Arabidopsis thaliana: one gene and its partner. The protein of the gene in region 1 purifies or fractionates together with the protein of each later gene. This does not show direct contact. Each region holds a gene or a part of one and is shown on either strand. Other genes may lie near its edges. The genes, in order: MYB28 and NIG1.

The links.
Region 2: the proteins of MYB28 (region 1) and NIG1 purify together in Arabidopsis thaliana (affinity purification with a luminescence readout, with the first as the bait; one study listed by BioGRID). This does not show direct contact.

The regions. Positions count from the first base shown.
Region 1 is NC_003076.8:24,688,331-24,693,142, reverse strand, and holds MYB28 (myb domain protein 28), read left to right. Parts: upstream 1-1,955; 5' UTR 1,956-2,347; coding exon 2,348-2,480; exon of another isoform or gene 2,481-2,560; coding exon 2,561-2,690; intron 2,691-2,830; coding exon 2,831-3,668; 3' UTR 3,669-4,074; downstream 4,075-4,812. UniProt on the Arabidopsis thaliana protein: Major regulator of short-chained aliphatic glucosinolates (GLSs) biosynthesis. Together with MYB29/HAG3 and MYB76/HAG2, promotes aliphatic glucosinolate biosynthesis but represses indolic glucosinolate biosynthesis.
Region 2 is NC_003076.8:19,000,366-19,004,960, forward strand, and holds NIG1 (calcium-binding transcription factor NIG1), read left to right. Parts: upstream 1-2,198; 5' UTR 2,199-2,353; coding exon 2,354-3,889; 3' UTR 3,890-4,019; downstream 4,020-4,595. Other genes in the region: AT5G46825 (uncharacterized protein), read left to right, coding at 1,680-1,696, 1,761-1,814, 1,849-1,918, 2,054-2,134.

The DNA of each region.
Region 1 (4,812 bases):
ACCTGTCCAAGTATAAAATTTACGTCACTAGAAAAAAGTTAGGACACAAAATAAAATGTAGAGCAACTTGTTTTGCAAAATGATAGTGGAGAATAAGATAAAACCGCAACAAAAAAAGCTACAAAATCACGAAGAGTTAGAAGAATTGAAGCAATGTAAATGCTCGGAAGTGAGTCGTTGCGAAAATTTAGGTTTGTAAAATGAAGGATTATGGTGAGTTTTAGTTTGCAAAATAACTAAAATATTATGGGACCAAGGAAATAATCAAGAATAAGTGAAGATACACTATGGGACCGTTTAAGTAGGTTGACATATATAACTGACTGGAACCAGCGGATCTTAGGGATATAATCAATACTTATTGACTAAAATTTTCCCAAAAGAAAGAAGAATCAAATGATTACTCTATGTAGTAACCCAAACTGATCCTAACAAAATTGTAGAAATGCAGATGGTTTAAATATGTGGCGCTCTCATAAAACTCCTACTTCAGGTAATCTTTTTACACAGTTTGGAGCTATCGTAGCTCTTAACATTTTCACTCCAGCAATGACTAGAACCAACAGAACAATGAGAGATTGGCTTCTATCCATAGAAAGCTTCAACACGAAAACCGACCAAAACGAAATGTTAAACCCAAGCCTTCTTCAAGCATAGCTGTATCATATTCTATCTTCCTTGTAAGAGTTCCTTTTGTTAAAAACTAAATACTAAATCCGACTTAAAGAATAATAATCAAGAACTTCAAAATAGCAAAGTAAAATATACACACGCACAAATTGATAAGAGTTCACTTAGCTTGCAGTACGAGAACTAGGCAGGGGCAGACCTAGCTTAAGAGTGTAGGTGTGGCAGGTGTTTAATTATATAGAATTTACTTTGTGGCACTAACATATTTTTGTTTTATAATGCAAAATAAGATGTTAAATTTGATTAAATTTATATACAATACAAGTTTGTGTTCTATGTAAAATATTTTTCTAGATCAAACAAGGTCTAGTTTTAAACGATCCATGGGAGTATAAATTTTATCTTTTTCACTCTACCTTGAAAAATGCGCATGAGATAAAATCATAGGTACATATACATACGTGAAGAATAGCATCAGAAAATATTGTTCTAACTATTCCGATAACTAACAAAACCTTAGGAAACCTCATCAAGACTAGTTCGAATTAAATCATAAGGTTTAGGTTGAGAGAGTCAAAGAGGGAATGATATAAATAGAAGAATATTTTTTGTTTAAGAATGATTTTTAGACAATGGAAAGAAGAATATGTTAAGGTGGTATAGACGACGAGCAATAATACAACAGCCACAAAAGTGGCAAACAAAAAGGACCTACGCTGGAAAAAAAACACGTGATGTTACAATCACCCTTTCATTCTCAATGATGAACAATAATGTTTATTATTGATAAGAAAAACAATAATGTAAATTTATACTTTCTCGTTAACCAGATTTGTTTTTTCATTATGCGTTTGCAGTATAAAAATAGTAAAATACGTTTTAAGTATTAAACTGTTTGATAGTTTTTTTTTATATATATACCTAACAGAAACCAACTATTTAAACAATACAAAAATATCTGCAAAGATATATATATAATACAATCGAATTCTTAAAAGTTATATATATTTGCAAACGTCCCTTTAGTTATTCCCCTCCAACTCTCCATGTTGGATCAATCATTCAATTTTTTTTTAATAACCAAAAGTTAAATGTACAAATATGCAAGAACCTACAGGTACGTTTACGTGATATATAAATTAAAATATTGCATCTCGTACCGAAGCGCATTACCGTATTTAAAATACCTGAAAGTAGGAAAATATAGTACTATACAAACACCACTTTTCGGACATTATTTTCATAGAAAAGTTACGAATTATCCTTTTTAACTATTGATCTATTTAAATAATTTACTAACCATAACTATCTTGTTACGTTTTCACAAAAAAAAAAAAAAAAAAATCTCATTACGTACGTGTATATATATGGAATAGCTCATAACCTCACCACTACCACAGAAATCATGCCTCTTGGTTCTTTTCCATAAGCTTATAACATATATTTTTTTTAAAATCTACTCTGCGTTAAAAAAATGAAAACACGTAGCAGCAGTGTGGGTAAGATCAAAGGGTGTTTCTCGATCAGTTTCATATTCAGATGTATCAGAGTTCTCATTAACAGATCTGTTTCTTTTTCCTTATCTGATTAAACAATTTCCTTCAGAATTTTACTTTTTTGAACATATATAGTTTTTCTCTGTTCCTATATCTTGAGTTTTGTGAGAGGTTAATTATATGAAATTTTACGCATTATTGTTCATCTATATCGAAAAACAATGTCAAGAAAGCCATGTTGCGTCGGAGAAGGCTTGAAGAAAGGAGCATGGACCACCGAGGAGGACAAGAAACTCATCTCTTACATCCACGACCACGGCGAGGGAGGCTGGCGCGACATTCCCCAAAAAGCTGGTTTATACAAATCTATACATACACTCATTTTTGTACTTGTTGTAGAAAATTGTTCTGATAAACATATTGTGTCTGATTAGGGTTGAAACGGTGTGGAAAGAGTTGTAGACTGCGATGGACCAACTACCTTAAACCTGAGATCAAAAGAGGCGAGTTTAGTTCAGAGGAAGAGCAGATTATCATCATGCTTCATGCTTCTCGTGGCAACAAGTACGTTTCTATGTTTCTATGTGTGTGCGTGGACCCTCGAATGTGAAATGAATTTCATGAAAAAGTTTTCATATAATATTTATTATGTAGACATAATCATCATTTTAATCTTGGTCTCCGATCTATCTTATTTTCTTTAGGTGGTCGGTCATAGCGAGACATTTACCTAGAAGAACAGACAACGAGATCAAGAACTACTGGAACACGCATCTCAAAAAACGTTTGATGGAACAGGGTATTGATCCCGTGACTCACAAGCCACTGGCTTCTAGTTCCAACCCTACGGTCGATGAGAATTTGAATTCCCCAAATGCCTCTAGTTCCGACAAGCAATACTCCCGATCGAGCTCAATGCCTTTTCTGTCTCGTCCTCCTCCATCCAGTTGCAACATGGTTTCCAAGGTCTCCGAGCTTAGCAGCAATGATGGGACACCGATTCAAGGCAGTTCCTTGAGTTGCAAGAAACGTTTCAAGAAATCAAGTTCTACATCAAGGCTCTTGAACAAAGTTGCGGCTAAGGCCACTTCCATCAAAGATATATTGTCGGCTTCCATGGAAGGTAGCTTGAGTGCTACTACAATATCACATGCAAGCTTTTTTAATGGCTTCACTGAGCAGATTCGCAATGAAGAGGATAGTTCTAACACATCCCTGACAAATACTCTTGCTGAATTTGATCCCTTCTCCCCATCATCGTTGTACCCCGAACATGAGATCAATGCTACTTCTGATCTCAACATGGACCAAGATTACGATTTTTCACAATTTTTCGAAAAATTCGGAGGAGATAACCACAATGAGGAGAACAGTATGAATGATCTCCTTATGTCCGATGTTTCCCAAGAAGTCTCATCAACTAGCGTTGATGATCAAGACAATATGGTAGGAAACTTCGAGGGATGGTCAAATTATCTTCTTGACCATACCAATTTTATGTATGACACCGACTCAGACTCGCTTGAAAAGCATTTCATATGAGTCTTCATATCCAAACAGAAAGGTTTCAAACTATTCGACGACTTAAAATAATGGTTCTGTACCCAAGGTTAGTCGATTACTAACTCGCTCGAACGAGATATTGTGTATGTATTAATTAGTATTTGGGTTGTTTACTATATGTCCAAGGCGTGTTTATTACGATGTTAAACAAGGGTTAATCTTAACACTTAAGTTTCCCCAAGAATAAATAAAATAGGGTTTGAGTTAGGGTTTCTCTTACATTGAGAACCATGCATGTAACCTCGCGAATCAATTGGTAATTGATTTGTGCGGGCCACGATGTTTATACTAATATTTCTTTCTAAAGCTTGTTTTATTTATCTTATTTCGTAGTAGTACTTCCCATTATAATCATCAGTGCCCATAATAGTCATCAATTATGCTCTTTTTGGTTTTTATGCTCTTCTTTATATGATTAAACTCATTTATTGTTTACAACTTTACATGGCATCAAGTCATCAACGATTCAACGTAGTGGTATAGTGATACCTTTCGTTGGATTTGAACCGACCACAACATCTCTCTTTCCGATAAATCCAATTACTATTATTGTAGAATTTAATAAGAAATGTGTGAAAGTAATGAAAAATAAAAGAAAAACAAACAAAAAATGCTCAAACGAAAAAGACGTTGCAATAATAGTGTATTTGTGTGGTCAATAAACAATTTACATGAAAGCCAAAAGATCACGAGGTGAAACAGAAGTCTAATTGGATTTACAAATCTTGTCTAAACACAAAATCGAATCTTAATAATAATGTAATTATATTATAATATATAAAGTATTTATGTGCATATTATTTGAATTCGCTCTAGCAGTCAAAGAATTAGAAATAAATTATTCGATTTCTAATTTTCACTTTTTAAATGATTTTTAATTCTTTATTTCAATTTTTTCGAATGATATTGTATAATTTTATGTGGTTACCACACACAAAAAAACGTAATATATAGTGATATAGAAACATGATTTCATATATTAATACACTCATTGATTCCAAATAAAGAAAAAAACGATAAGAATTAAGATGTTTTAGAGTTTTTTTGTTTGACCAATAATTCTGATAAGAAGTCTTACTCACTTTTCATAAATGGCCTTTAGACCCACTCATCGCTCAAAAAA
Region 2 (4,595 bases), 5.7 Mb from region 1:
TTAAAATTAACTTGCTGAGTTTCCAAAAGCTGTTTTATATTTCTTAAAAGGTTTGAAAAAATGTCTGAAAATTCGAACCGGAAAATAGTGTGGTAAACTATCTACACTTACACAAACAAATTCCTATCAATTCAAAAATAATTTGTGTTAACACAAATAAGATTGTTTCAACAAAATAAAAAGCTTAAGGATGTGATCTTACAAATTAAGTACCCATTTAAAAATGAAGAAAAAGACATTAATGTTGTTAAATAGGATGTGGTGTTAACTTGTCAGTTGCTCCTCCCCACTTTTTCTTGGTCTCCTTATCATTATGCAAGCTCTTCCTTCCACATAAACCCAATAAAGATATGAAATTTGAAAGAAAAAAAAACAAAGATACAAAACAGTGTAATTTCAGATTTTTGTTGTTACATTAATCACTTTAAGTTCAAAATTATGCAACTCTTTTGTCAAATGTCAATATCTAGCATTCACGGCTCCGTCAATAGATTGCGTCATTATTTAAATTTTACAAAATAACTCCATTAAAAAATATAGAAACACAGAATCAATGTTAAGCTTCACCATTACACATAAAAACTAAAATGTCTATTTAAAATCATCATGATGGGGTGCGAGATTAAAGGATTGCATTGCTAACTTTGCCTCTTTACGTTACTTTGGTTAAACCCAATTGTTAAAAGGGAGAAATCGAACATTGGTTATTTGACTTTTGAGTATATTAGTATCAAAATGTATAGGTAATAATGAAAAAAATGAGGAAGTGCAGTGCAACAAAGTCCATTGACATTGTTTTGTTAACCTGATCCATATAGAATTAAAGAGTGATAACAAAAGAAAAAAGAAGAAGAAGAAGAAAGAGTGATAATTTTTTTTTTTTTTTTTTTTTTTTGAAAGAGTGATAACATATATGGGTGAACTAGGTGTATAGCCATAATTGAACAAAAATTAAGAATATAGCCATATAATTTACGTAATTCAGCAAGTAACCAAAAACTCTAACTAATTACAAGTCTATCCCTGCATTATTTCCCTATTTTCCAATTTGCCATGACTCATCATCTTCTTCGTTTTGTTGATCAGATATTGATCTAAAGGTAATATTCCATATGTTCTAAAGGTAATGGATTGTGAATCAGATATTGATCTAAAGGTAATGTTTTTTTAACAGACCTTTTTCATTCATCATCTTCTTTGTTGCTTCTTCTCTTCTCTCCAATCCAACAAAAAATTTCCAGAAAATTTAACTTTTTTATATCAATCCATTCTAATTTAAAAACATCTATTGATTTAAGAAAACTAAACCCTAAGATACTATATATGGAACCCAAACAAAAATAATTAAACTAAATGAAATCATCTCAAGAATCAGTTTTTAGAAATCTGACAAAATCATGTTTATATACTTTTAATCTCTTTTCTCCTTTCCTAAAGCGAATTGAAATCGATTCGATTTTGGGTTTAAATTTGTGTTAGGGATTTTCAATTTTAGATATTGATCAAACCAGAAAATATTCAATAAGATCTTGTGAGTCTTCGTTTTCATTTTTTTCCGTTCTAACTAGCAAATAGAATGGTACAAAATTGAAAGTAAAATAGAAAACTATAGTTCGGTTCTGTTTTAATTAAGTTAAAGTAGAAAAAAAAGATAAGAGGCGAGAGAAGTGAAACAAGCAATGGAAGAGAGGAAGAAGTGATTAAGGTGGTGGTGGTGTGTATGGTGTAGGTCGTAGTAATATTTGTGTTGGTGGTTGCAGTGGTCGTGTGTCAATTGCGGCGGCAATAATGGTGATGGTGGTTGAGATGACAGCGTAATGGTAGTTTCTATGGTGGTGACGATTGCAGTGGTGATGGTGATGATGGTATGACATTTGTGGAAATAATGGTGGATGCGATGATGATGACGGTTGCAAGGGTAATGGTTGTAATAGCATAAAAAAGATGGTGATTGTGTAGATAAGAGTACTTTAGTATATATTATAGTTTATATACAAAATATCATCTCTGTTTTTGTTGTTGGTTAGTTTCTTAATTATAGTTTTTTTGTTAGTCAATTTTGCAAATTTCCCGACATATAATCGTGTTTCATTCAATCCATTTTGTTCAACGACGAAACAATCCCGTTACCTAGAAAAATGTGGTCCTTTTACCTGGTGATAGGTGATAGTGATACATCAGCTATCGCACATGGGTCGTTAAAATTCATGAAAAGAAAACCACAGAAAAATGTAATATTTTCATGCACTCGTGTGAAACAAAATAAAGAGTACACTCTATACTCTATAGTTTCTCGTTTAGTTTAGATATATAAATACAAAGACTTGAGACGACTTCTAATACTCCGGCAACGATGATTAATACCGACGATAACTTATTGATGATCGAAGCTCTCTTGACCTCCGATCCGTCGCCACCATTACTTCCGGCGAATCTCAGCCTCGAGACTACTCTCCCGAAGCGTTTACATGCTGTGTTGAATGGAACCCACGAGCCCTGGAGTTACGCCATTTTCTGGAAACCGTCGTACGATGACTTTTCCGGTGAAGCAGTTCTCAAATGGGGCGACGGAGTTTACACTGGTGGCAACGAGGAAAAGACACGAGGGAGGTTGAGGAGGAAGAAGACGATTCTGTCGTCTCCGGAGGAGAAAGAGCGTCGGAGTAATGTTATTCGGGAGCTTAACTTGATGATCTCCGGCGAAGCGTTTCCGGTGGTTGAAGACGACGTCAGTGATGACGATGACGTGGAAGTGACGGATATGGAGTGGTTCTTCTTGGTTTCCATGACGTGGAGTTTTGGTAACGGATCCGGGTTAGCGGGTAAGGCGTTTGCTAGCTATAACCCGGTTTTGGTTACCGGTTCGGATCTGATTTACGGGTCGGGTTGTGATCGGGCTAAACAAGGAGGGGATGTAGGGTTACAGACCATCTTGTGTATTCCTTCACATAACGGAGTGTTGGAGCTTGCATCCACGGAGGAGATCCGACCAAATTCGGATCTTTTTAATAGGATCCGGTTTCTTTTTGGAGGATCCAAATATTTTTCTGGAGCCCCGAATTCGAACTCGGAGCTTTTCCCATTTCAGTTAGAGAGCAGTTGTTCAAGTACTGTAACCGGTAACCCGAATCCTAGTCCGGTTTATCTACAGAACCGGTATAATTTGAACTTCTCGACGTCATCTTCCACATTGGCGAGAGCTCCATGCGGCGATGTACTGAGTTTTGGCGAGAATGTTAAACAGAGTTTTGAAAATCGGAACCCTAATACTTATTCTGATCAGATTCAAAACGTCGTCCCTCACGCGACGGTGATGCTGGAGAAGAAGAAGGGAAAAAAGCGCGGGAGAAAACCGGCGCATGGTAGAGACAAGCCTTTGAACCACGTGGAAGCAGAGAGGATGAGACGTGAGAAGCTAAACCACAGATTCTACGCATTACGAGCGGTTGTACCAAACGTATCGAAAATGGACAAAACGTCGTTGCTCGAAGACGCGGTTTGTTACATAAACGAGCTGAAATCAAAAGCTGAAAACGTTGAATTGGAGAAACATGCGATTGAGATTCAGTTCAATGAACTCAAGGAGATTGCAGGACAACGAAACGCAATTCCTAGCGTTTGTAAATACGAGGAAAAGGCATCAGAGATGATGAAGATCGAAGTGAAGATTATGGAAAGTGATGATGCAATGGTTAGAGTTGAATCAAGGAAGGATCATCATCCAGGAGCGAGATTGATGAATGCTTTGATGGATTTGGAGTTAGAAGTGAATCATGCGAGCATTTCTGTGATGAACGATCTTATGATACAACAAGCGAACGTGAAGATGGGGTTGAGAATCTACAAGCAGGAAGAGCTTAGGGATTTGTTGATGTCGAAAATTAGCTGAGAGTTTCTGCGGTGTGTTTTGAGAAAATTAATCATGGGGTCAAAGTGTAATTAAGTTTTGTTGATTTTCTCATAAGTTAATGGCCGTTTTATTAGATTTTGGATAATATACAGTTCTAATCTTGTGACCCAAAATTAGGGGGACTTATTGCAAATGGTCAACCCTGGAATGAACGAGATGAACACAAACACAAATGGTGCTTGAATTCTTTTTTTTTTTGTTTCCTCTTGTTTGTTCATCTTACTAACATGAAAAAGATGAATATTTATATTTTGCACTTTCAGCCCAAATGGTAAAAATTTGGGTTGAATATATTTTTGAGAAAAATCCAAAAAAAGATTATTGCACGTTTAATATCCAAACTTTTTTGGTTGGAAGGAAAATATACATAGTTTAATTAAAACATATAATTTAATTTCTACAATTTTACTCAAGATCTAATAACAAAAGCAAAATTCTAGTTTTACTCTTACCATCTCAATTAATTTATAATTGACATGGTATATTTGATTTGAATAAAAATTATTTTTTGTTGATAGGTTGTTTTTATTAAAATTATTTTATTTTGACTACCAAAATAAAAATTAGAAGAAAATCTTTTTAAAAAAATCTTCAACTTTCCTTTTTTAAAACACACCCTTTAATAGATAAAATTAGGGTTTTTGGAATGAAATGTTGAAGAAGATCAAAAAATTTAGATTTTTTC